Oryctolagus cuniculus: one gene and its partners. The protein of the gene in region 3 interacts with the protein of the main gene of each other region in a pairwise test. Links are inferred from orthologs where the notes say so. Each region holds a gene or a part of one and is shown on either strand. Other genes may lie near its edges. The genes, in order: HYPK, STMN2, TXLNA, DTNB, BTF3L4, CEP57L1 and STX1A.

Region 1 (2,825 bases), on a different chromosome or scaffold from region 3:
AATGTAGAATGTGTTACAGTTCAGAATTCAAATCTCCCATAGATCAATTCTGTGTCAGGCCTTTCTGCCCCTCTTCTTTCCATGGTTCTGCCTGGGATACCTAAATTCTAACTTAAACTGGCCTGTGAACTGAGTTGGTAACCTGTATCTACACAATGGCTACAAGGCTGGTGCTGGCCTTTCAGCTATTAATAATAAGCTGTCCTGGAGACACATGCCATGGAGTACAGTAATCGCTGTGTGCTTGCTAGTCAGATAAATGGGACTGGCCAGCCACCTACTATGTGCATCTGAACACAAGGAACTCTTCTACGCCAATTCTTGGGTTGTGGGGAAGGAGGAGCGTCATTAAATTCATTTATATTTCAACATATATATGTTTGCCACAACAAAATGTGATGTACAATGCACTTGATCCAAGATGATAAAAACAGCAATAAAGACCAAAACATTTTTATTGCAATAAATTAAGCCAGTAAGTATGGGTAAGAAAGCACTGATCAGTTGGTTAGGGCAATAAGAGCCTCGACCACATTGCCCATGTGTTCCCGCAAGCTCCGTTCTGCTGCTGCTCGAGAGATCTCCATCTCGGTCATCTGCCGGAAAAGGATAGATCATGTTACCCACGTCTCCTCCCTGGCATTAATGTGCCACCAGACATGCTGACCGATTTCTACTAGTTGCAGGAAACAGCCCAAATTAGGCAGAACCACCTTCCCTGCCCTAAACTAGTTAGGCATTACTACTCACTATCAGCTCCAAATCTTCCTTCTTGATTGTGACTTTAGCCAGTTCCTTCTCCCTGCAAATATTTAAGTGTGTTAGTCTCTACTTCCACCATAAACTCGTAGGGAGAATTATCAGCTGGAATCCGCAGATAAATGGATCTTGAAAAACAGGGTGACAATATAAAATGACTCCCACCATTCCTGCCATTCCTTCCCTCTAAGAGGCTTCTGGCAGGCAGGTGTTGGCCAGGACACCTTTCTTCCATTAACAAAAAATCTCTAGGTCTGCAGGAATTGGTGGTAGACTTGAAGCACGGTACAAAGACATAGCAATGGTCTTTAATGTCTGAGGACGGAACTGGTAATGCTGCCCGGCTGTGCACTCAACACTTACCGCTCTTGTTTAGCCTTCTGCTCCCGGGACCGTCTGTCTCCAATGACTGACATGGCCTATGGGAAAGAGGTCTTGTTACTACTTCGCTACCCACACTCCCCAGTGACCTTTTTAAAAACCCAGTAACAAGCGACACAGGATGTATGCTTGATGGCCAGCGCAATTGGGATCCAAGCACCACGTTTTATTCAATTGTGTTACTTCTCCACCTAAGATTAGTATCCGTCAAGCTCCCCTTGGCAAGAGGCGGGCTCCGGTGACCTCCGCTTCCCCTGGCACTATCCTCTACCCTACTGGCTCCTCCCGCCATCGGGATCGGGACGCCCGTCTGCGCGGGCTTCCAGCTACCGGCTCAGAAGCCCCTCTGCTCTCAGCCCGCCCAGACGCACTCGCGGCCAACCTCACCGTCTCCAAATTGGAACTCTGGATCTCCTTCTCTTCCGCATAGTCGGTGACCCGCTCCAGGTCCGCCGCTCCACTGTCATGCTTGCGTGGCTTCTCAGGAGGCCTCTCCGGGCCGCTGGTCTCAGTCTCTAATTCCAGCTCCACGTCCCCCTCGGTCGCCATATCTACTCCACCGCGCCGCCGACCAGCCACGCCTCACGGCTTCCGGTACCTAACCAGCGACTTCCGCCCAGGGGAGGCGGGGCTGGCGCTGGGCCACACCTTCTTTATGCTGCCGTTCTAGAAGCTTCAGCGGGGAAGGCGTTTCCCTTCTCAGACTTCCTTTCAGACGTGTAGCAGTGTTTTTAGCAAGGCTTCACCCCAGATGTAACGCATCACCGCTCCAAACCAGCCCAACCCGATAGCTTTTCGTCTTTCTCCCTTAGCGCAGAAACAGTTCCTCTCCTCCTCCCTTGCCCCAGGGAACCGTTTGCCCAGGTTGGATGAGGTCTAATCCTAAACCAATTAAGAATGCTAATCCGCAGGAGGCTCCCTAATCTGGGGAGAACTGCCTAAGTGGGCGAGGCCCTGACAAGGAAGCACTTTCACAGGGGTATTTGCATTTACCACATCCTGGAGAGCAGTGTTCTTTTCCTGATGTCCCCATGCTGCCTTAGACCGGGAGTTCAGCCCCAGCTAAGCAGCAGGCCAATAGGATGAAGACAAACTGCTGCTACTTTCTCATCTACCTTCTTTTCATCTGGAGGACCTGGGCCTAATCCCAAGGACAAAGACGATGGGTCCAAGGGCTGACAAAGGCCCCAGCACCTCCCTGGACCTGGCGCAGCAGCGCAGCGGAGTCGGCAATGTCACAGTGAAAACCCACTTCTCCCAGGTGAGAGGGTGCTTGGCAAGACAGACAAGGAAAGCTTCCTTAAACAAGGGCTATATGAAACACTGTTAAGTGTAAGGGTGGCTGAAGCGGAGAAAGAAAACCTGTGGAGGCCAATAAAAAATGACAGGCTTTTCCTCTTGTAATGCCTGTTTTTTTTGCCTCAGTAAACTCCCTCTTCCCAGCCCCAGATGTTTGTCTAAGGAGTCTCAAAGATCTTGGAAAAACGGGGGGATTTCAGAATTCAACCTTAAGGGTTCCCCTCACACATAAATTAATCTACCCCCTTCCTCAGCAGTCTCCACCTTGCAGCCTGTATCTGCTCTGTCCCCAGGTGTCCTGCTGTGGGGCTGTTCCTAGTTCCAGCTGCTGCCACCCTGGCTGGCCGACTCTAACAGACTCTACCTGTAGCCGCCTGTTCTACATC
Region 2 (3,500 bases), on a different chromosome or scaffold from region 3:
CTCCTGCTCCCAGGGCCAGCTCCTCCGGTTACCTAAGGCTGTGCTTTCTTGGCAATGTGTATGTCTGATAGACTAGAGGAGGGGGGCCTTTATGACAAGGGGAAGAGGAGTGTGGTTTTGGTTCTTTTGAAATCAGCCTTTATCTTACCATAATTGAAGCACATTTTATCTAGACGCTCCTGGCTCTACATCTATTGAAGACTGACAGATGTTGGGATGTTTCAGGTTCAGGTGTCACTGACCCTTGGAACCTCTGCTAGAAGTTTGTGAATGTGTGTGTGTGTGTGTGTGTGTGTGTGTGAGAGAGAGAGAGAGAGAGAGAGAGAGAATGCAAAAAAGAGAGCGTAGAGTGAACTTCACCATTGTCTAGAAAGAGTTACCTTTCTTCTTTCCTCTGCAGCCTCCAGCTTTTTCTGGATCTCCTCCAGGGACAGATCTTTCTTCTTTGGAGAAGCTAAAGTCCTCGGGGCTTCTGAGATAGGAGAGGGTGGCTTTAGGATCAGCTCAAAAGCCTGGCCAGAGGCACGTTTGTTGATTTGCTTCACTTCCATATCTAAGGAATGAACAGTGGAGAATATTAAGCATACAGAGGTCAAAGCATGGATTTATTCTAATGACTTGAATTCCAGCAACTGAAAGCAGCATTATTAAACTGGGAAGTAGAAGTAAAATGCTACAGATGATAATTTTCTCTACATTGTTTTGGAGTGTTTTCATCCCAAATTAATGAATGACAAACATGTGAGGTAATGTATATGTTAATTAGTTTCATATACCCATTCCACAGTACACACACACACACATACACACACACGGTGGTAACACAGTGTATTCAAAAAGTTCATGGAAAATGCATATTATGCAAAAATCCTGCATGGATTTCAAAATTTTTTGTACCAAATAAAACTTACCTTTAAGTTCTGTTTTCCATGAACTTTTTGAAGTACCTTCATATTTTGAACATATTTCACATAATAAATATAAAATATTTTTGTTAGTACAAAAACTGAATAGTTGCTAGCCAGCTTTTTTTTTCATCAGTGGCATTTATGGCAAAGATAAGCAGATTATCAGACCCTCAAGTTTTAACCCTGCATAATATGGTTTTAATATTAATATAATTTATAATATAAATAAATGATAACTAATATCTGATGAGACATTCATCATTACATGTTTCGCAAATTAGTGAAATATAATGATTAAAAAATGAATATTCTTTAATGTGAGCCTCAGATGGCATCCCTTTGACATCACTCTACTGGAACTTGTATGTGATGTGAATGGTTGCAAGCCAAGGACATTCTCTGTTGTGTCTTCCAAGTACAGTTGTCCTTTAGTCCCTGCGGGTATGGTTCCAGGATGCCTGGTGGACACCAAAATCCAGGGATGCTCAAATCTTTATGTAAAATGGCACTGTGTTTGCATAGATGCTACACAATATTCCCATAGACCTTAAGTCATCTCTAGCTTAACATGTAATTCCCTAATACAATGTAAATGCCATGTACGTTGCTGTCATGCTGAGGCTGCTCTGTACCACGTCTCCCACCACAGGCTAAGCATCTTCAGGGAGATTGTTCCTAGATCTTGATAAGCACGTTGCCACCTAACCTATAAGTCTCTCTAATTTATTAATGTTCCTTTGAAATCGTGGCAAGCCAGCCAGCCAGGTCTCCAGGCCGGTTCTGGCCAAGGCAGAGCAGAAATCTTAACTTCTTCTAATGTGAGGATTATGTTTCCATTAATGTTTCAGCAGTACATTGAGGTTGTGGTCAGATAAAAACCCCAGGCTGACAGGAATTGACCTTGGATCCATAAATGCTTATAGAAAATCCAGATGACTAATTTAATAAGTAAGCTGGAAATGATGCATTTCTTTTCCCATAAATATAAAAGTAATTTAAAATTTCCTGAAGCCATCCAATATTTAGTTATGCTTTAAATGCAACTATATAAAATCTATGTAAGCCTATAGAAAAGGATTACAAAAGAGAATGGGCAAATAAAAATAGCTTATTTGATGAGGTGATGAGGGATTTTAAAGGGCTTAGCTGAGAGACTGGTATTAGAACTGCCTGTATTTGCAGGTGAACACTAGATACTGCTTTCCTGCTGTGTGGCACTGGCAAAGTTAATTAAATTCTCTTAGCTTTCATTCCCTCACATAAAGACAGAGCTAAGAGGAGCATCTTTCTCTTAAGATTGCAGTGAAGATTAAATGACAAATGGTAGGGAATGGAAAGTACAGCCTATGGCACTCTGGGTTTACTAATGTAAACAATAAGAAGAACAACTGTTATTTGTTATCATGTTTGTCTACAACAAATGATTCACATTCTTATCAACATAGAAATACAGGCCAAGTTAAGGACCTCAGAAATTTGATATTCTCCACCAGTTCTGGTATTGATTCAATCTGGACAAGATTGAATTATCTGTTCAACTTCTGAGACTTGGTTCATATATAACTTTGTACTTTCTTCTACCCCTCTTCTCAATCCCTCAAGCAGCAGACACCATCATTACCTCTTATGTCCTAAGCACTCTGTGTTCTGTATCTTGCCCATGTGTATACTGAAAGACACTTTCCCTGAGCCTTGAGTGCCTTACAGGTGAAGATCATGTTACATTCATCTTTGGATCTTCAGTGACAACACTGAGTGATCTATACTGAGTGATCCAACATCGGGAGTCTCCTAAGAAAGATAGCATGGTTCCTACTTGCAGCCAGATCTAGCAGATAATAATGGTCTGTCCAGTATATGTGAATTTATGCAAAGCAGGAACTGGCCTTGGGCTTCTGTTCTAATAAAAGTTTTGGTTAGACACCAAAACCTTTTTACATGGGGTGGGCAATATTTCCTTCTGAGACACTTGATCAGCAGTCAGGATGCTTACATCATCATGGAACAACTTTCTACAGGTTTTAAAAGCACAGAGGGGGTTAACTACCAAAGGCCCATTCACCTGATCCTTCGTGTCTTTCTTTACATATGTGGAAAAGAAAAATAACTGACAGCCTAGGCAAACAATATGCTTTAGCTATATCTAGTATACATAGAACTGAATCAAATATTTTGATTGGATTGACTGAATTAGATGAGAATGAATTGTTGATAATAATAGCTATCTTGATGCTTTAACTTAGTGTGAAAACTTTTAAACCTCATAACAGCCCTGCTTGGAGATGCTAGTGTTCAGTGAGGCTCTAGGGATCTAGGTATCTGCTTGCCCAAGGCCAGGAGGTCAGTGGCAGAGCCAGAGAGAAAAGACTAGCCAAATGAATTAGAATACATTCAACTTAAAGGATTGTGCTTTCCTAAAGTGAGCTGCCAGGCCAATGCTCCGGGCATTTCTCTTCACACCTGTTTACCGGGGCCTCAGTCATATATCAGTTTGAATTATTTAGTCAACTATGATTACTATTAGTTTGTTGACAGGCATACACAAAATATGGGGACTTTATAAAGACTACAATAAAGAAAATGTGATGTTAT
Region 3 (4,054 bases):
CAAAACCTCTTGGAATTCCTTCGGGGGGGGGGGGGCACCACTGGTGGGAGAAAAGCTTGTCTGCCTCCCAGCAGATAAAAGGTATCCCACCTGCAAATTCAGGGCTACTGTTTCAATGCAAAGTGGGGCCTTCCCAGAGAAGCAGGATCCGAAAAGGTCTCCTGGCCTCCGTGAGAAATCTATAGCCCTGTGTACGAGGCATCCAAACAGGGAACCTTATAATGAAGAGACCTTCAATGTGTGTTCCCATGATTCTTTAAAAAAGTTCCTCTTTCAATTAGGGTGACAAGTGCTGGGGGCGGGGGAAGGGCGGCGAGACAGGGACTAGGACACAAGTCCAATGTCATCTAACCCAGATTCTTAACAGACACGAACTCTGCTGTCAAAAAACCGTCTCTGCCACTTCCCCACTGCCTGTGCCCAGTGGGGGGCCTTTCCCCAGGGGCTGCTGACCAGGCTCCAGGCTGCTCAGCCTGCGGAGGCCCGAAGACACCAGCACAGAGATGCCAATCACTGGCACACAGGCCAAACCCGGCTCATGCATGGGTTTTGTTTGGTTTCTACTACTGAAATCTACAGATTTCACCAGACTCTTGATTTCTGGCTTTTCTTAACAGAAAATAAAATTCCAGCTGCACCCAGTCTGAGGTTCAACACGCTCTCAACTGACGAGCTGGCAGCAGGCACAGTGCAGAGCACTCAAGGAACAAGGCTGCAGTCCACCCTGGGCAGAAAGCAGGCCCTCCCTCGGTCCTGGCTTACACAGACGTTTGCGTTTGCAACTTTGGCCTAGCCCAATCCTCTCCTTGTAGAGAACTGGAAACTATTGCCCAGGGCGGGGAAAGGACATGCCCAAGGTCACACAGCAGGGACGAAGCGGTGTGGGCAGGTACAGAGCCCATCCAAACCTCTCCGCTTTGTCCATGAGGATCAGGCTCCATTTCACTTGCTCCCAACCTGAACGACTCCGGCCTGTGGCTGGAATACCCTGCGCTTTGAATCAACCAGGGAGACTCCCTGCTGCACAGCCCAAGGAATGTCAGGTGCAAAGCCCTCCCCACAGCCCCCCGCAGCTGCCCTCTGCTCACCCAGACCCTTGGCCTTCTTCTTTTCCTGTGGCCTCCGGTGGTCTCGGTCTCCGACCTCATCGCTCGTCCGGATCTCTTCCGTGCCCGGCTCTGCCTTGGAGGTCTCCTTCTCGCCATTGACTACTGGGGTGCCCGGCTCCGGCTCCCCATTCCTTGCCACATAGGCGCGAGACTTCTCTGCATCTTCAGGTTCAGGGGGCTCACCCTGGACCCCATCCTCACCCGGGGCCCCCTGGTTGTTGTCCACACAGTATGTACTGAGTATGTCTTCCAACTGGCGGCTCAGCTCCTCAGAGACATCACAGAGCGCCCCAGGCTGAGCAGTTTTGGCTTGAGCCCCTAGGGCAGGAGAGGACGAGAGGCAGCGACAGACGGCAAGGTTAGACCACCACCTGGGATCGTGAGCCCAGCCAGCCTCACTGGTTCAGGTTTAAGGTTGCCCCAGCTTACTTAATTCTCGCAACCTCCCCAATACAGTTTGTTCAAGCATAAAATAAGTACGTACGGCACCTGGGACTGCCATGTCGCAGGAGGCAGGCAACTCAATGTTTCGTCCATTCCCCTCCCTCTAAAAGCCCCCGCTTGCTATGCAAGCAGCTCCAGAAATGCCTCGACAACGAACCAAGGGCAGTGACCCACACTGGTGACCGAGGTCCTTCGGATGGAACCCGGCGTCACTGGCTGAGGCCTCAGGTGCCGGCCACCTGCGAGAAGCCTGCAAGGGCCTCCCCTCCCCAGAGCCTGGGATGCTCCACATCCCCGCTGCCTCCTCCCTGGGCCGGGCCGCGAACTCCTCCCCCAGGCGGCTGGAAACGCAGAGCTGGCACACACCCTCCGGCCTCCCGGGAGCCTGGCTGCTGGCACCTTCGGCTTCTCGGGCGGGGGCCGGCCGGCCGGGCCGCCCCTGGGCTCCCTCCGCTCCTGCTTCCGGCTGTCCCGGGCTGCTTTTGGGGTTGGGCTGTTTGGCAGCCCCGTTCTTTTTGTCTTGATTCTTCATTGTGCGCTGCCACCTTAGGTTGGGATTGGATCCTTGAGAAACACAGTTGCTATTTTCCACAGAATTCTTCGCAGCCTGGATCAGAAATCACAGCCCAGGCGCACCTTCAACGGAGGGAGCCAACGGTTCTCCCGCTGTCCGGCCGGTCAGGGGGCCTGGCGCACCCCGGCGGGTTTCCGGGGCGCTGCTCCTGGAGCGGGTGAGGAGAGAGGCCTCCTTGTTCCCCCCGAAGCCACTTCCCGGCCCCACACGGCCCCTCACGGCAGGCCCGGCGCGGGATTGGCTCCCGGCCGCAGACTGACGTGGCGGGACGCTCGACTCCGACCCCTCCCCCCGCGCCCCAGGTCCCACGTGGGCTCCCGCGCCCGCGCGCACGCAGCCACCCACGCCCCGCGCGCCCTCCAGTCGCGCGCATGCGCACAGCGTCACCCCGACTCCCCCCACCCCCGCCGCCGCCCACGCGCAGAAATCGGAGCAATTTCCCCGCTGGCCGAAAGTGTCCAGGTCTGCAGGCCCTCACCGTCCGTCGTCCCGCCGCTGGGCTCACCTCACGGGCGACGTGCGACCGCGTCCCCAGCGCTGGCCTCGCACCGGAAACCCTGGGTAACCGCTGCCGGCAGAGCCGCCTGTCCGAGCCACAGCCAATTAGTAGCCGGCGCTGGCGCGGAGCTTGCCGGGAGCCGGGAGCGAAGGCGGCCTCCAAGGCGGGTGCATCGGGAGGGCGGGGACAGGAGCGGACTACACGTCCCACCATGCATCGGTCGACACAACTCCCAGGATGCTCTCGTCCTCAGAGCCGCGGACTCCGGAGGGCTGGGGAGCCGGTGGTTCTGAGCAAACCTCCACGTCAACCTCGCCGGTGTCGTGCAGAAGCCCTGTGCGGCCCAGCCTCACTGCGCCCGCGTGCCTCGGTCCACACTCCGTCAGTCCGGGGACTCCGGAGAGGCCTGGGCTGGGAGGCAGGCCTGTGTTCCAGGTCCGACTTCATCCCTAGGTGCCACGCGACTGGACGTTCTTTTCTCTCCCTGCCTCGATTTCCTTATTCTGACGCAGGCTTTCAGTGACCGTAGCGGTTCTCTGAGCACACCCCGTGTGCTTCCCTGGTCTCTTAAAAGCCCTGGCCTCCTAGCTGCTGGAGATAAGTACTATTTGTCATTCCCATTTAACGGAAGAGGGCTGTAAGGCTCGCGTTAGACAGCTCGCCCACGGTCACAGATGCTGGGTTCGAGCAGTGGTTCAGAACCTGACTACTCCGCTACCCTGCCTTTTACTCAGAAGAAATAATCACCATTGCAGGCGTTCTCCAAGAGCCCGGGTAACTTGTGAAAGGTAGTTACCCCCCCCCCCCCCCAATAAGCTCGGCAGTCCCGCAGGAAGGGGCAGAGGGGTCCCTGCAGGGGTGTTTGACCTCAGGCCCATTCCTGAAACTTCTTCGTCCCATTTTGTACAAAGTCCTTGTGGTACTAGGGCTAAAACTGAAAAGGCCAGATTTTTCTCCAAAGGTGGGATCACAATTTTTTAAAAAGATTTATTTATTTATTTGAAAGGCAGAGTTACACAGAGAGGAGAGGCAGAGAGAGAGAGAGGTCTTCCATCCGCTGGGTCACTCCCCAATTGGCCGCAACCGCCAGAGCTGCGCCGATCCGAAGCCAGGAGCCAGGTGCTAGGAGCTTCTTCCAGGTCTCCCACTGGGTGCGGGGGCCAAGGACTTGGGCCATCCTCCAGTGCCTTCCCAGGCCATAGCAGAGAGCTGGATTGGAAATGGAGCAGCTAGGAGGTCTTGAACTGGCGCCCATGTGGGATGGCGGCACTGCAGGCACCAGCCCCGAGGTCACAATTCTTTATCACCGCTGCTTATAGACGTTGGAATAAAACCCAGTACTCTTTGCACCTGGAATCTGAAGAGCCTACGTGGTTTGGCTTTTGCCTCTTCCATCCAATCTTGGGTTTTTTGCTCCAACTCTACTTT
Region 4 (3,500 bases), on a different chromosome or scaffold from region 3:
CACGAAGGGGCCTTGCCGGGTGCAGATCTGGATTCCTTACACTCAGAACTGTGTTGGCTCCGCAAGGCAGGTCGAGCTAAATGTGTGACCGTCCCCACCCCCGGGCTCACGCTCTGTGGGCGCTGCCCTCCGCCGCACCCTAGAAGGCAAAGACTGAGGGGTGAGACGAGGCCGCGTGTGCCGCGGGGGAGCTCTGGGCTTCACCTGATCGGAGCTCTTTCACCAGGGATGACATGGTGTTGGTGATGGAGTCGGCAGCCACCAGCAGGTCACTGCGCAGGTTTCTCCTCGTACCTGAGGGGAGTCAGCAGACGGCGATGCCAGGGCGGTGGGCACGGAGAGGAGAGCTGGGTAAACGCCTCATCCTGCCAGGCCCTGGCACGCAGGTGCAGGACGCCTGCGGGGAGACGGGGCTGCGGCAGCTCCACCTGCTCCCGGGCACAGCAGGAGCAAGAGGAGCCCCAGCCCCGTCCTCACGGCCGCCGCCGCCTCTCCCTGCGCGGCAGAGCTGAGATCCAGAGCGAGCCGTACATGGAGGTGCTGGTCAGCTGCGGGCGGAATTCACTCGCCAGCACCCCTCCTTGTCCCCTGCCCCCAAGACTTCCTGCTTGAGCCCCTCGTCTCCCACCCAACTTCTCAGTGTCGCTGAGCCTCACACGGCCGTGCCCTCGCAGGGTGGTGTGTGGAGTCCATGTGCCCATCCTGTGCTTGCGCCCAAGGCTTGCAGGGCTGGGGGCATGACTTGAGAGCTACTCCATCCACTTCCTCTGAAGGGGACAAGGTCCAAAGCACAAGCCCCGCGCCCCAGCTCCCCCACACGGCTGCTGTGTGTGTACCTGCTACTGGAGACCGGCCCATCTAACAGGAAGGGGCCAGCACCTGACTTAATCCCACACTGAAGCCAAGAGCTTTCAACAAAAGCACAGAAACTGCGGGATGACCCCTCCCTGTGCCATGCGGCAAGCACCCACCTTGTGCGAACGCCTCCTGCACGTCTCCGCCGACGCCGCTCAGTGAGTCCTGCGGGCAGTGGGTGGGCGTGGAGCCGGCTGACGTGGAGCGGACGGGCATGGGCATGGGGCGGCCACCTCCGTGAGTGGGTGACGTGTGCGGGGACCCCGCGGCCTGCGCCTGGGAGGGTCAGAGAGAGAACAGGGGAGCTCAGGTATCTCTGAGGAAAGGGAAAGCCAGGTGGAGCTGGCGCGGGCTTGGCCATGTGTGAAGCGAACGCCCAGGCTGCCCCAGGACTGGAGAGAGGAGGAAGGGGAAGGAGAGCCTGGTGCGAAGGGGGCATTTCAGGGAGGCCGAGGGGGCCGGGGGCGGGGTCAGCTGCTGGAGGGCCAGGAGGGAGGAAGATGCAGACGTCCTGCCTGTTTGTTCACAGACACATTTGTGCACGCGCCGGTTCATGCACTCACTCTCCTCTGATCCCCCAACAGCCACAGCAGGAAGGGCCAGGCTTCCCTGTCCAGTTAACAGGAGAGAACCAAAGATGAGCAGAGCCACGGGCCTGTGCCGGGCTCGCCACCCAGAGGGTCGGGCTGCGGCCCAGGGCTCGGGTCAGCGAGGCCTCTCCCAGGGCCCCCACCAACCACACACCACAGGCTGGGGGGATGGGAAAGCACAATGCAAGACGGAAACTGAACAGAGGCAGCTCACAGGGCAGGGGGCTGCTCCTCGGGGCTGCTGCGTGCGGCAGAGCTGGGGCTTTCTGCAGAAGCAGCACTGGGAGAATACAAGCCAAGGAGGGAGGAGCGCAAACGAAGACCCCTATCTTCCCAGGAACCAGGCTCGGAAGGCCCGCAGCAGAGGGACTCGGCCCTGGCTCGGCCGGGCACTGACCTCGACAGAAACGGTTTCTGGTCTTGGTGCTGGTCTTACCTCTGAGTCATTTCTATGTGTGTGGATTTTAACTTGAGAAGTTTACAAAGGTGGAAAACCAGAAAGTGTGATATAAACCACTCCAAACCGACACACGTGACACTGTCACATTTATTTCCACCTGGAAGTACTGCAGATAAACCTGAGGAGCTCCGTGCCCACTGCTCTTGCCATTCCCAGTTCCTTTTCTTACCCCTTCGGTGGCGGCCACTGTCAGAGAGCTGGGTGTGAAACTTCTCACCCCGTGTACCCGCATATCTGTGCATCTTATACTTGTAAGCTGTGCGTGAGTAGTAGTATACTGCACACATGGTTTCGCAGTTTCCTTTTATCACTTAGCACACTTCCTGGACTCTTTCCAGGACACAAATAAATATGATCACAGACCCTCACGTCTCATGTCATTTTAAAAAACTAACTTGAAAGGGATCAAAGTAACTATAACAGCTAAAACTGTAAAACTTCTCAAAGAAAACATAAAGAAATCTTTGCAGACATGGGTTAGGCAGATTTCTTAGATGTGACACCAAAACCAAGCTATATGAAAGACACGTTGAATTTCATCAAAATTAAAAGCTTCTGTTCTTCAAAAAGCATCATTAAACACTACATGGACACATGGACTCAGAATGGCTCAATAACCTACGCACGGGAGCTAAACCTACAAAACTCTTGGAAGAAAACAGGGAGAAGCCTTATGATCTTGGGTAGGAGAGCATATGAGAAGCAGAAGCTACAAAACAAACTTCTGTGCTTCAAAGGACAGCACGGAGAAAGCAAAAGACAAGCCACAGGCAGGCACAGAACTTCTGCACACGACGTGTCTGATAATGGATCTGTACCTGGAACTCTTCCAGTTCAGTAACAGGTCAAATAACCTAATTTTCAACTGGGCAAAGAATCTGAATCGGCTAAGACGCACAGTGTCCAAATAAGCACAGAAGAGATGCTCACCAGTACTAGGCCCTGGGCAGGCACAAATCGAGACCATGAGATACTACTTTACCCACTAGGATGGTTGTGATCAAAAAAGGCAGGTGCTAAGTGTAGGCACGGCTGTAGAGCCCCAGGAACCTCCACACACTGCTGAGAGAAATGGAGAAGGGAATGAACAGCTGCTCGGGAAAACGGCCTGGTGGCTGAGCTAAAGGTTGAACGTTGAGTACCAGGTGACCCAGCAGTTCCAGTTCTAGATACACACCCAAGAGAGATGAACGTATGTCCACACAACAATCTGCACAACCGTTCATGGAAGCAGCATTATTCAACTTAGCCAACAAGAGGCCAGCATCGTGGCGTGGCATGGCGTGGTGTGGTGTGGTGAGTAAAGCCACTGTTGTCTGTGATGCCGGCATCCTGTATGGGTGCTGGTTCATGTCCCAGATGCTGCACTTCCCATCCAGCTTCCTGCTAATGGCCTGAAGAAAGCAGCAGCAGAAGATGCCCCAAGTGTTTGGACCTCTGCTCCCCACGTGGGAGACCTGGATGCAGCTCCTGGCTCCCGGTTTCGGCCTAGGCCAGCTCTGGCCATTGTGACCATCTGGGAAGTGAACCAGCAGATGGAAGATCCTGTCTCCCTGTCTCTCCCTCTAACTCTGTGTTTTCATATTTATTTATTT
Region 5 (4,206 bases), about 19 Mb from region 3:
GTTCTTACAAACCATAATTTTTAAAAACTGGATGGACAAAGGAATTCAACAATAGGTTGTCTAGCTGTCAAAATATGAGCTAGTCATGTCCTTTATTCAAGGTCAGATGTTATGTTAATAACAGGGAAACAGAAGCAGATTTCCAGACATTTGGTGCTTCAGCAGCACTCCAGAATTCACTCATTACCCTGCACTGATATAGTATGCCATATTCATCAAGATTTCCTTGCATTTTGAGTGAAATGCTTCATTGCACAATCTGACAAAAACATCTCTCTGCTACAACAGTGAATTTAGAGTTAGATGGAAGACGCCTAAAAATAAGCTTTTCAAAGCTAATTTTGACTTTGAAATTTCCAAGAACATTATAAAGTCATGAATCCTAGTCTGGCCCGTGACATTCCTACTGCGGAAATAAGTTCTTAAGTTTATAATGAGTCATAACATTCCACACTAAATAAATAAATATAAGTCAACTTAAAAGTCCTGTTTTACTTATTCAGTCAACAGATCATTACTGAGATGCAATGGAATAAGGGACGAGGTTGTTATCAATTTTTTTTTTGTCCAGTCCTCTAACCCCTGTAAAATCATCAAATGAGAAAGATACTGTTTTCTTCATTTGAGGAAGGGGGTAAAAAAAGAATCAAAGATAAATAATTACTAACCATTCTGTTTGACATTGTACTTAGATACTAACCTGTATGTATCTCTGCTTTAAGGCTAAAGTTCAGTTCCCAAATAACATTTAGAACCTATGATTCCTCACTCTTAGCACTATATCACAATCATAATATTTAAGTAGCTAAAACCACTTTTAAGAGGAAGTGAGTTCAGAGTCTAAAACAAAAAGTATTAGAAATGTACCAGTCTTAGCTCTGCCAGACTTAAATTCACTGAAGTAAATGTCAATCCCTATACTCAAGTATCCATAAGAAAAGGACCAATATTCACTTTTCCCCAAGGGATGTGGCCATGAAGGTATTCTGGGGGAAAAAATGGGGGGGGGGGGGGGAGGCTAAGGAAGCTTTTGTAAAAAAAAAAAAAAAAAAAAGAAGCTACATGAAAATATTGAAACTATACACAGGGCAAATCCTTTCTGGACTCTTCTCCCTTTTGAAGTAACAGTCCTTGACAGAAGAGATGGAAGATGATGATACATCAAGGCAGAGTCTTGACTCATAAAAGCAAGAACGAAATTAACTCTATATATCAACGTGTAGATGAAGAACAGATTCCATTCCAAGTGGTCAGGCCAAAAGAAGGGAGAAATCTTACTCCCAAAGAGTATCTCAGAGAAAAAGCATTTTAGGGAAGTCGGAAGCGCAAGGCAGTAGGGAAAGCTGGCCGGTGACCTTTTGTCTGAGCAAGCTGGGGCATGTGTACTTCAAGCAGGAAAAAGGATCAGGCTCAGTCTAAGAGAGACGTAAAGCTCAGGATCTGAAGCAGACCTCAAAGATCTCCTGGTTTCATCCCCTACTCTTCAATCTTTACTGCACCATCACTTACATGAGGCCATCTCAAATACCTGCTTTTTAGCAGCAAAGTGTAAATTACAAACAGTTCACCTCCATCCCAGTTTAACAGATTAGGAAGTGAGAGCTTGACAGGAAAAAGGTACCTTTCAGGGCCCAAAAGGTGGAAGTGATTTCCTAAGGCAAAGGGTCTTTCAGTACGTCGTTCTTCAAGGACTCAAGAAAGGGTGTAAGTTAAGAGGTTAATCAGTATTTACTGAGTGCCTAAGTTCCCAAGCATAGTGAAAGGCACTTTCACATACATTATGTTTGCACTGAGATAAAAGTAATTTCAACCTTTAGTCCCAACTTTTATTACGCGAGGTTTCTCCAAGAAAAAGGCACAGGTCTTGGAATCAGAAAGGCTAAGGCATCGGAAGGGTATTCTACTGTTCTGAACTTGTGTTCCTCCTGCATGAGGGAAGGTGTACCACCACCTACTTCACAGGATTGTTTTGAGCGCAAAAGGCTAGATTATCAAGCACAGTGTACGCAGTAATTGGCAACTATTGTTACCACTTCCGAGAGGACGGCTAAGCTAGAGTGAAAGAACGTGGGAACGGAAGTTGAAACCGCCATTCACTGGCTGTGAGCACTGCCTGTCGGTCAGTGATGTGGTTATGAAGATGGGCAAGGTAACGTTTCAAAGGGGAGGCAGACTTGTAAACAAATACTGCCATTACAAGGTGACGAGCGCGGCAAAGGAGTTCGGTCCCAACAGCTTGGAAGCTGGACGCGCTAACCTCAGTCTCCCTATCTGTAGACTGGGAGGAGCAAAAGAGATGACAGCAGGCCAGCTTTCTATAAGGCTCAAAGCTCGCAACACTGTTGTTGCGAATAACGAGCAGCAATGGCACAGAACAGGGGGCGTCCCCCGCCTTCTGGGACTGGATCTGGGAGGCAACAGAGCGGAACCGCTCGCCTCTACAGGAAGCGGTGGTGCTGGGTACCTTCCCTCAGGTGCCGACCCCCAGCTCCGCCGCCGGTAACCGACAGGCCAAACCAGCCGCCTCCGCCCCCACTCGCCGCGCCACGGCGGAAGTGGCAGTCAGAGCGGTTGGCGGGTGTCGGAAGAAGAGGGCGGGGGAAGACCGTGCGTAGCGGCCTATGGCCGTGTAGTGGCGGGACTGCCGGGGGTCTCACCTGAAGCAAGGAGGATCCTCCAACACCAGCACGCGGCAAGAGCAAGATGGCTGCCTCAGCTAGACAGAGAAAGACGACCGCGGCGGTGGCGGCGGGAGCAGGGCCCACGTGACACAGTCGGCCCGCCTCTCCCTCTCCGGAACGGCCTATCGCGGGAGTGCAAATCCGAACTACAAAGCCCAGCGTGCTCTGCGCGTGCCTAGCTTGCTATTGGCTGCAGGTGCAGGTGGCCGCGCTGCATCCTGGAGCTCGCAGTCTCCAAAGCGTTCTATTGTGTCGGCTCTTATAATTTGTAGGGAATCTAATAAAATAAAGGGCGGTGTGTGGTTTCGTTTGGGTGTGTACTTCTGTTCCAATATATCTCACTGTGCAATAAGTAAGCATTGTTTGGACTCAACTAAGTACCAGGAGGAAGATGGGAAAATTAATCTGTTTTCGCAACACAAGGGGAAAAATGGGAAGAAATATTCAACTCATAACAAAAATAGATTTAACCAGAAGAAATTTTACACTTTAGATGCTTGCAGTGACTTATGTCCTGGTTCCCTAGGTCCACCTCAATCAGTTTTGCAATAAGAGGCACCAAGTTTGGTTTTCTTGGAGCTTACATCAGTTGATTGCATCATCCTCGAGTGGAAGACTTGTGATTTTGCAAGGGAGTGAAGGTCCAGCGCTTCTTCCCTAACGGGTAAGGGCATGCCTGGAAGGCACGAGACCGTGCACCGCAGAAGGGGTTTGCCAGGTCTCTTCAGAGACCGGAGTAGGAACTTACAATGACATCCAGTTGTCCATCTTTTACTTGGGGAGCAGTAAGGGGAATCCGAGGCCGGAGGGCAACCTGCCCAGTACTGAGAGCGTCCAACCAGAGCGATCAGTAATTTGCATTTTGAATATTAAGTACAGCGGTTCTAGGGGGGAGGGGCCAGCCTGGCTGGCAGACGCGATCAGCAACGGTTCTCCCGAATCTCTTCCCCGCCCCCACTGTCTCGGTCCACCTTTTCCTTTTTCGGTCACCCGACAGGGACATCCAGAATCCAGAGAAAGCTACTCGAGATGGAGAGCTACTCGCGCACCCTATTACGTGACCTGTACCTTTAAACTCTTTCCATTTCCATCCGGACCCCGGAGGCACCACCCACATCCGTCTAACATCACTTCCTTCGGACTTTGGAAAAAAAAAAAAAGAGAGAGAGACACACACAGACAATCTGGGAACGCGAGGGGTTGAGCGGAGCCGTGCTTGGGGAGCGGTGTGAGCTGTCTGCTCGGCACCGTGGTCCCGCGCACCTACCACCGTGGAGATGCAGGCTCGTCTCGGGGCCACCTGTTTGCTGGGCTTCAGTTTCCTGCTCCTGGTCACCTCTTCTGATGGACACAGTGGGCTTGGAAAGGGTCAGACCGCGTTCTTTTTTTATCTTTGCTGATCCCGGGCCCCAGCCCGGTGTAACCCTTTTCTTGCCCTAACACCGCTACCCTCTCCTTCTGCCTCTTAGGGCACCCCAAATCTCTCTTTAGCTCCCCAACCGCTCCTGGAGTTTGAAGATAATTT
Region 6 (3,500 bases), on a different chromosome or scaffold from region 3:
TGAAGGTGTCTCCCACACACCCATGAGGATCCTTCCAAAACTTTGTGGGAAAATATAATTAAAAGGTAAGTTTATTTATTTTTTAAGATTTATTTATTTATTTGAAAGGCAGAGTTACAGAGAGGCAGAGAGAGAGAGAGAGTGAGAGAAAGAGATAGAGAGGTCTTCCATCTGCTGGTTTACTCCTCATATGGCTGAAACTGCTGGAGCTGGGCCAATCCAAAGCCAGGAGCCAGGAGCTTCTTCCAGGTCTCCCACATAGGTGCAGGGGCCCAAGGACTTGGGCCATCTTCTACTGCTTTCCCAGGCCATACCAGACAGCTGGATAGGAAGTGGAGCAGCCAAGACTTGAACTGGTGCCCAAATGGGATGCCAGCACTGCAGGCTGTGGCTTTATCTGCTATGCCACAGCACTGGCCTCAAGGTAAGTTAATTTGGTATTAAAAATTTTGATATCCAAGCATTGTTTTTTTTTCATAATAAGCATTTTCTGTGAACTTTCTGAAGTACCTATATATATATATTTTAAAGTATTTTATTTATATAAAAATTATATACATATTATTACATATATATTTATATTTATATTATATATAAAGTATATATATATATATATGTAAAGTATTTCTGGGGTGTGTGTTTAGCTAAGCAGTTAAGATGCTTGTTAAGATGTCACTTAAGATATCTGGGGGCCTGTGCTGTGGCATAGTGGGTTAAAGCCTCCGCATCCCCCATGGATGCCAGTTCTAATCCCAGTTCCTCTACTTCTGATCCAGCTCCTTGCTAATGTGCCTGAGGAAGCAGTGGAATATGGCCCCAGTCCTTGGGCCCCAGCATCCACGTGGGAGACCCAAAAGAAGCTCCTGGCTCCTGGCTTCAGATTGGCTCAGCTCTGGCTGTTGTAACTATTTGGGGAGTGAATCAGCAGATGGAAGACCTCTCTCTCTCTGCAACTCTATCTTTCAAATAAACAAAATAAATCTTTAAAAAAATGTCTGCACCTGGGTTCAATACCTGGCTCTGGTTCCTGATTCCAGCTTCCTGGGAGACAGAGGTGATGGCTCAAGTAATTGGGTCTCTGCCACCCATGTGGGGAGCCTGCATTGCCTTCCTAGCTCTTGCATTCAGCTTAGCACAGCCCTGGCTATTGCAGTCATTTAGGAGGTCTCTGCCTCTCAAATTAAAAAATAATAATGATGATAATAATAATCATCATCATAATAAAAATATCTCTGAATTAAACAATAAAGTACTACTGAATGTCAGTTTAAAAAAATCAAAGGACTAACTATTGCCATCAGGAATGTCTGGTAAAAGTGGGGTAGATAGAATTAAACAAATAATTATCTATCAACTAGCTGAATTTCTTCAAAGGCGAACCTATTCCATAGTCTGTTTTCACTTACACATGGCTCTAATTGGTACAGCTAGCCTAGACACTGAGTGCGGGGTTGTCTATTTGCCTTTGAGGCTATTTTTATTACAAATATGAAATGTATCATAATAAAATGTCTGCATATTGCTATAGTCATTATGGAATATAAATCATGTCCTTCAAAATATAGTCTGTATGAACTAACTTGTTAAAGTTTTTATTTTTCCATTTCTTTCAAGTTTCCCCTATGTAATTCCAAGAAAGTGCAGAAGTTGTACAATCTTTATTCCAATACATCCATACAAAACTTTGTACTTATAGCTTTAAAAGCTAGCAAAATGAAAATGTTTGCTTCAAAAGTAGGCCATAAGAAGAATAAAGGCAGCTATGTTCTGCATTGTTTAATACTTTCCTACAAGAGGCAGGGGAGGCTTACTCATATCTGTGAGGTTAACACATTGCAGACTTTTATGAAAGATGATTAGATCCACAGCAGGGAGCTATCTGATGTGACCTGACGGCTCCTGGAAAGGATCCCTCTGCCTTCTGCTCCTGTGCTGTAGGAGTGCTCGAAGTTCAACCTATGGAGTCACTGTCATGGAATAAAATATTATATTCTAGGGTTCTTTTTTCAAATATTAAAGCTGTTATGCCAGTCATAGCTATTAAGACTTTACATCCAAATTCAGAGTTCTCTCCAACGCCATCCTACTCATTATAGCTAGCTGACTGCAGGTCCCCAAAGCAAAAAACAGCACAGCTTGCTTTGGGAAAGGTTGACATTGAGTTTAGGAATAGGGTACTCCTGAGAAGCCAGGCTTATGGGTGGTAGGAAATTAAAAATCTGTTAACACAAAGGGGCATCATTAAGGCATGGGAGGAGAAAAGGGGAACAGGAGAAAAGAGTAACCAGAGGGCTGCTCAGTCAAATTTCTCCTCCTCACAATTTTCCCAGAGCTGTTTCTGAACACATAATTTACTTTTCCTACTCCTTTTTCTCTACATTATCATGGAGAGTCAGGTAGGAAACCCATGTTATTCCAATGGGATGGCTAGCTGTACTGTATATAACAGGCCTAAGTGATTCCTATCTGTCTATCTTGTCACAAAACCACATATAAGAACCTCATATTTGGAAGGTCACATGGAGATGTAACATTGACACCAGTTATGTTATCTTTTCATTGCAATTTTTTACTAAGGCTTTCTTACACTGTCTTGATGCTTCTTCAGTTTGGAAATCTGTTCTCTTTTAATTTCCATCTTCTTGACTAAATGTTCTAGTTCACATTCTATGTCACCATAGACTGAATGGCTTGCAGTGTCCTTCATTTCTTTCAGTAGTTCTTGGTGCTCCCTAGAAAAAGCAAATTTAAAACAATTCAGTTGTAGCATAAGTTTCACTGAGAGTTAAATAATAATCTTAAGCCCTTGTAATCTGAGATTAGATACATTTAGATTTTGACTTAGATGGCCAAATAACCTTAAAAAAATCTGAGTTCTCGAGGCTCCCGGCAACACGTAGTAAAATGTTCTGGTGTCCTTGGATGGAGGCATTAAAGGGCTCTTCAGTTCCAACTCTGGAATTACTGCTGAAGGATTTGGCCTTGTCAATGAAATACTGTTCACAGAACTAGTTATAGCTTCTACAGAGGTCTCAGTTCAAGTAGTGAGCCAGCCAAATCACATGGTTCTGGATATACATTTAAACATGGGGCATGATCTAACGTAGCCTATACAGAATCTTCCTTACTATGGATGCTGCAAAATGTGTAACGCAGATCAGCCAGGCCTAAGACGAGGCATTACATTCTACTTGTTTAATGAAATCATTCATTTAACTACAAAATTCTAAAAACAAATTGAGAGCTTTTCTTTTAAAAGCTTTGTGAATTGTAATCTAAGGTCACCATACCATAGATGTTAGAATGATAATAATAATATCTGTCTGTCAGTCCAGATTTTGAGAATACAGAAACTCTGTAGAATGGAAAAGCAGCAATTATGCACACTTGAAAACTTAGTATCAATAAACACAATGAAAAATCAGTGATAATAAATTTGCAGACCAAAAAAAATATATAAATACAAATAATGAAGTCAGGCCTTTCAGAATTTGCAAGTG
Region 7 (4,061 bases), on a different chromosome or scaffold from region 3:
GGTTGAAGCCTGGACAGCTTTTCGCAAGCAGTGCGTCTGTCTCCCAGGCCAGACCACATCAGAGGCCAGCTTGTCCGGGAAGAAGCGAAGGCTGGCATGCTGCCCCCACTCCGCCTGCCAGCCAGCTCACCTGTGCCCTCAGTCTGGGACAGGCGCCAGGCTCACCAGGCAGCGGGGGCTGGGCTGGCTCCAGAGCAGAGCCTTGGCGGTCCTGGGGAGAGGGAAAAGGGGCGCGTGCTTGGCTTGGGGTCGAGGGTCTGGGCCATTCCAGCCGGGGGCCGCCACTGGGATGCTGTCACAAGGAGAGACAGAGCCCTGGAGGGAGCATCTGTGACTAACCAGCCCCTCTCCGCCCCTCCCCAGGTGCTGCTCGTCCCAGGCCCAGCGGCCCCGGCTTGTGGACAGGCAATGGGGTCTTCAGGCCCACAGCTGGAGCTCAGGGCAGGAGATGCAGGGAAAGAGGAAGGGAAAGGAGAGGAAGTGCTATTGGGCCTGGGGCCGGTGCTTGGTGTAGCAGGTAAAGCGGCCGCCTGCAGCGCCGGCATCCCATATGGTCGCTGGTTCGAGTCCCGGCTGCTCCACTTCCAATCCAGCTCTCTGCTATGGCCTGGGAAAGCAGCAGAAGATGGCCCAAGTGCTTGGGGCCCCTGCACCCACGTGGGAGACCTGGAAGAAGCTCCTGGCTCCTGGCTTCGGATTGGCACAGCTCCGGCCATTGCGGTCATCTGGGGAGTGAACCAGCGGATGGAAGACCTCTCTCTCTGCCTCTGTCTCTCTGTAACTCTGTCAAATAAATAAACCTTAAAAAAAAAGAAAGCAAAAAAAAAAAAAAAAAACCATCGCCCCCCAAGGATCGAGGGGTTCCTGCATCCTGCTGGAACAGCCAACGCAAGGGTGAGTTGGGGGTGGGGGTCGCCCGCACTCGTGAACCGAGAGATCCTGGGGCAGAGGCTGAGTCTGCACGAGGTGGTGTGACCAGTGGGAGGGGCCGGGGCCCCGCGTCGGGGGCGGGGTTTGGGCAGGGGGCTGCTGCACGGAGTTCCAACCGCAGCTGGAAGGGCTCACTGAGCGGGGGAGACTAGGGGCCCAGGTCCGGGGTGCAGAGTGGGGAGGTGGTCGGGGCCGAGGCCGGGGAGGCCGCAGGGGATCCAGCGTCCAGGTCCCAGCTGGGACAAAAGCCCAGGGCCCCCGGGCTCTGGGAGGGTGGGGCGGGGCGGGGCGGGGCCGGGCCGGGGTCCCGGGGGCCGGGGCGGGGCCGCGCTGGCGCTGCGCAGCCGCGGGGCGGCCGCCGCGCATGCGGGGCTCACAGGGCTGCAGCCGGTGCCGCTGCCACTCCCGGGAGCATGAAGGACCGAACCCAGGAGCTCCGCACGGTGAGTGCGGCCCCGCGCGCGGCCGCTCCTCGCCCGCGCCAGCGCCAGCGCCCCGGCTGCCTCCAGCCCCCGGCCTCCCGCGGCCCCTGCGCCCCCGGCCGGGGAGGGGGGAACCCTGAGCCCCCTGCTCGTCCCGCCCCTTCGAAACCCTTCGGGGGTCCCCGGCTCCCGCGCGCCCGGACGCCTCGGCCGGCGGGCTGGCGGCCGGAGCCCGGGGTCCTGGACAAACTTTGCGGCTCCCGGTGCCTGGGGGGAGTCGGAGGGTTATCGGGGTGGCGGTGGCGGGACGGCGCCCGCGGAGCCGATCCCGCCCGCATCGCCACCCCCTGCACACTCCGCTGACCCCGCCGTGTGAACGCGCGCCGGGACCGCGGGGGGACACCCGCCGGGGACGGTGCCCGGGCGCCGCCCCTCCCCCATCACCTGTGGCTCCCATCACCTGTGGCTCCCTGTCCTGCCCGGGCGCGGTCGGGACCCTGTCTCTGGGCGCCCTGGGGCTGCGAGGGATCGCACCCACCCCACCCACCCACCCACCTAGTCCACCTTCCGGGGCTCCGCGGTGCGACTCCCACCTGGATCTTATTTTTCCACCTGTGTCTCCGAGGCCCCTGGGCTGTGGCTCCTGGGGCGGGGTTCCGGGGCAAGGTTCTGGGTCGGCGCCCACCTCTTTCAGCCCGGATCAGGACTTCTGCCCTGCTGCTCCTCACCCTCAAAGCCGCCTCTGCCTTTGGAGATGGCGGGGAGGGCCCCTGGGGGGCAGTGAAGGAAATGGGGTCATGTAATGGGGGGCTCAAGACTGGCTTGGGTCTCCTCTGATGCCCCGGCTAGCGACCACCCCCTGCACACCAGTCCGTGCCCCCCACCCACCCCACCTGCCTGGCCTCCAGATCTGTGTCATTCCTGGCCGAGCGCCCAGCCCCAGGGGCAAATCCCGTGGGGTTTCCAAGGAAGCAGCCGGTCCCTCCTGCGGTCCTTGGTCCCCGGACACTTCCCCCCAGCCCTTTCGGTTGCTCTCAAGGTTCCTGTGATGCGGCAAGTCGGTGGGGGCACCGGCGTGGCGAGGGTTGGCTGCGTGAAGCGCCTGCTCCTGCTTGCGTGTCCCTTGGGTCCGATGAGGGTGCAGGGGAGCCTCTGGCTTGTCCCTATGCTGGAAGGGAAACCGAGGCACAAGGAGACGGGGTGGGGGGGGCTGCCTGCTGGAGGCAACGGGGTGTGGGGAGGGACTTGGCCTGGTGGCTGGGACTGGGGGGCCCCAGGAGAGCTTGAGTGGTGAGAAGCAGGGACCCAGAAGTTGTCTGTGATGTGAGTCCCTGTCCCCAGTCCACGTGTACACACACACACACACACACACACACACCTGCCTGAGCCCTGGCTGGCGAGCCTGGCTTGCTCTGAGTTATCTGATGTTTTCCCTGCAGGCATAGACCTCCCACCAGCCCCTGGTCGCTGTCCTCCAGTTTCTAACAGCCTCGAGGGGGTGGGGCGAGAGGCAAGGGACAAGGGGCGGCTGGCCAGAGCTCGCACTGGGTGGGCTGCAGTTTTGAAGGGTTTTCCACGAGGAAACCCCAGCTCTGGGGGCGAGGTGCAGCCACAGGTGTTGGACCTATGGCTGCACATTCTGGGGGAGACCTTGAACTCCAGGAATCAGGATTTGCAGCTCAGAAATGAGGAGCGGCACTGGCTGGGCTGGCCGGAGCTGGGGTTCAGGACGTGGCTGTGCGCCACCCCCAGCCCGCCCTCCTCCTCCTCCTCCTCCTCGCTCACCCAACATCGCCACCACATTTGGAAGGAAGGCGAAGGGAGCTTATTTATAAAAGTCACACTTGGGGAAGGAGCTGGCGTGCTTCCTCCGTGCTCCGCGGGCCGGGCTCAGCCCTCCAGCCTCCTCCTGCCCCCGCCTGCCTCTCTCTCTGAGGTTCCTTTCCATTCTGCAGGGGGAGAGTGAAGAGGGCTGTGGGAGCGGGGCCAGTGTGGGGCTTCAGCCCCTGAGACCAAGGCCTCAGGTCAGAGAGGCCTTCCTGGGGGTGCAGGGAAGCCACACAGCCCCGGGTGGGGTGGGCACTTTCAGGGTAGGATGTCCCCTTACACTTAGAAGCCTCCCTGATTTTCTTTCTGGGGCTTTACTGGAGCTGCTCCACACCCCTCCTCCGGTCCAGAAAGGAGTTCACCTGCATGCCTGGCAGGCTTCCTGGAGGAGGAAAACTTGGGATGGTCCCAAGGAGGAGGAGGAGCCCAAGCCGAGGGGATGGAGGATGCCCCTGAGGTCCAGAAAGGGGCCCGGCTCCCCCCCTCCCCACGCCTCTCAGGGCAGGTCAAGAGGCCGCAGTGGGGGGCAGCACCAGGCAGGTCTGGTCGGTTCTGCACCTGTCCAGTGGAGCCTCGCAGAGCAGGCACGGGGCAGGGTCTCCCGACACCCCCCTCTCCTTCCCCGCGGCTTCCCAGAATGAAGTAGGATCTGGCTGCGGAGAGACGGTGCCATTGGGGACCGGCTGGTCTCACCGCCTAGCCTACGGATCAGAAAAGCCAGGTTCAGAAAGGGCCACGGGTTCATCTGAGGTCACACAGCACAGCCCGGTGCCTTTTCCCCGGACCCGAAGCTGCCGCCCCCATGCTCTTGGGACCTTGCGAAGGGGCAGCCTGTGCTAAGCAGGGAGCTGATGTAGCAGGCCTGGTGGGGGGTGGGGGTGG

What was found.
Region 1: the proteins of TXLNA (region 3) and HYPK interact in binary tests that used the Homo sapiens proteins (3 or more experiments, as listed by UniProt). The two-hybrid records come from large-scale screens. The link is inferred for Oryctolagus cuniculus from reciprocal best matches to the Homo sapiens genes TXLNA and HYPK.
Region 2: the proteins of TXLNA (region 3) and STMN2 interact in binary tests that used the Homo sapiens proteins (3 or more experiments, as listed by UniProt). The two-hybrid records come from large-scale screens. The link is inferred for Oryctolagus cuniculus from reciprocal best matches to the Homo sapiens genes TXLNA and STMN2.
Region 4: the proteins of TXLNA (region 3) and DTNB interact in binary tests that used the Homo sapiens proteins (3 or more experiments, as listed by UniProt). The two-hybrid records come from large-scale screens. The link is inferred for Oryctolagus cuniculus from reciprocal best matches to the Homo sapiens genes TXLNA and DTNB.
Region 5: the proteins of TXLNA (region 3) and BTF3L4 interact in binary tests that used the Homo sapiens proteins (3 or more experiments, as listed by UniProt). The two-hybrid records come from large-scale screens. The link is inferred for Oryctolagus cuniculus from reciprocal best matches to the Homo sapiens genes TXLNA and BTF3L4.
Region 6: the proteins of TXLNA (region 3) and CEP57L1 interact in binary tests that used the Homo sapiens proteins (3 or more experiments, as listed by UniProt). The two-hybrid records come from large-scale screens. The link is inferred for Oryctolagus cuniculus from reciprocal best matches to the Homo sapiens genes TXLNA and CEP57L1.
Region 7: the proteins of TXLNA (region 3) and STX1A interact in binary tests that used the Homo sapiens proteins (3 or more experiments, as listed by UniProt). The link is inferred for Oryctolagus cuniculus from reciprocal best matches to the Homo sapiens genes TXLNA and STX1A.

Annotation. Positions count from the first base shown.
Region 1 is NC_091443.1:66,686,284-66,689,108, reverse strand, and holds HYPK (huntingtin-interacting protein K), read right to left. Parts: upstream 1,690-2,825; coding exon 1,528-1,689; intron 1,179-1,527; coding exon 1,123-1,178; intron 803-1,122; coding exon 751-802; intron 597-750; coding exon 501-596; downstream 1-500. Other genes in the region: SERINC4 (serine incorporator 4), read left to right, coding at 2,544-2,825. UniProt on the Homo sapiens protein: Component of several N-terminal acetyltransferase complexes. Inhibits the N-terminal acetylation activity of the N-terminal acetyltransferase NAA10-NAA15 complex (also called the NatA complex).
Region 2 is NC_091437.1:105,186,071-105,189,570, reverse strand, and holds part of STMN2 (stathmin-2), read right to left. Parts: intron 554-3,500; coding exon 381-553; intron 1-380. UniProt on the Homo sapiens protein: Regulator of microtubule stability. When phosphorylated by MAPK8, stabilizes microtubules and consequently controls neurite length in cortical neurons.
Region 3 is NC_091438.1:140,273,197-140,277,250, forward strand, and holds the start of TXLNA (alpha-taxilin), read right to left. Parts: upstream 2,801-4,054; 5' UTR 2,633-2,800; exon of another isoform or gene 2,606-2,632; intron 2,491-2,605; exon of another isoform or gene 2,276-2,490; 5' UTR 2,086-2,275; coding exon 1,920-2,085; intron 1,428-1,919; coding exon 1,089-1,427; intron 1-1,088. UniProt on the Homo sapiens protein: May be involved in intracellular vesicle traffic and potentially in calcium-dependent exocytosis in neuroendocrine cells.
Region 4 is NC_091433.1:177,327,473-177,330,972, reverse strand, and holds part of DTNB (dystrobrevin beta), read right to left. Parts: intron 1,132-3,500; coding exon 972-1,131; intron 398-971; exon of another isoform or gene 295-397; coding exon 205-294; intron 1-204.
Region 5 is NC_091438.1:120,888,675-120,892,880, forward strand, and holds the start of BTF3L4 (transcription factor BTF3 homolog 4), read right to left. Parts: upstream 2,801-4,206; 5' UTR 2,658-2,800; exon of another isoform or gene 1,622-2,657; intron 1-1,621. Other genes in the region: TXNDC12 (thioredoxin domain-containing protein 12), read left to right, coding at 3,959-4,049.
Region 6 is NC_091436.1:62,252,130-62,255,629, forward strand, and holds part of CEP57L1 (centrosomal protein CEP57L1), read right to left. Parts: intron 2,733-3,500; coding exon 2,588-2,732; intron 1,968-2,587; exon of another isoform or gene 1,812-1,967; intron 993-1,811; exon of another isoform or gene 777-992; intron 66-776; exon of another isoform or gene 6-65; intron 1-5. UniProt on the Homo sapiens protein: Centrosomal protein which may be required for microtubule attachment to centrosomes.
Region 7 is NC_091450.1:50,381,677-50,385,737, forward strand, and holds the start of STX1A (syntaxin-1A), read left to right. Parts: upstream 1-1,261; 5' UTR 1,262-1,343; coding exon 1,344-1,373; intron 1,374-4,061. UniProt on the Homo sapiens protein: Plays an essential role in hormone and neurotransmitter calcium-dependent exocytosis and endocytosis.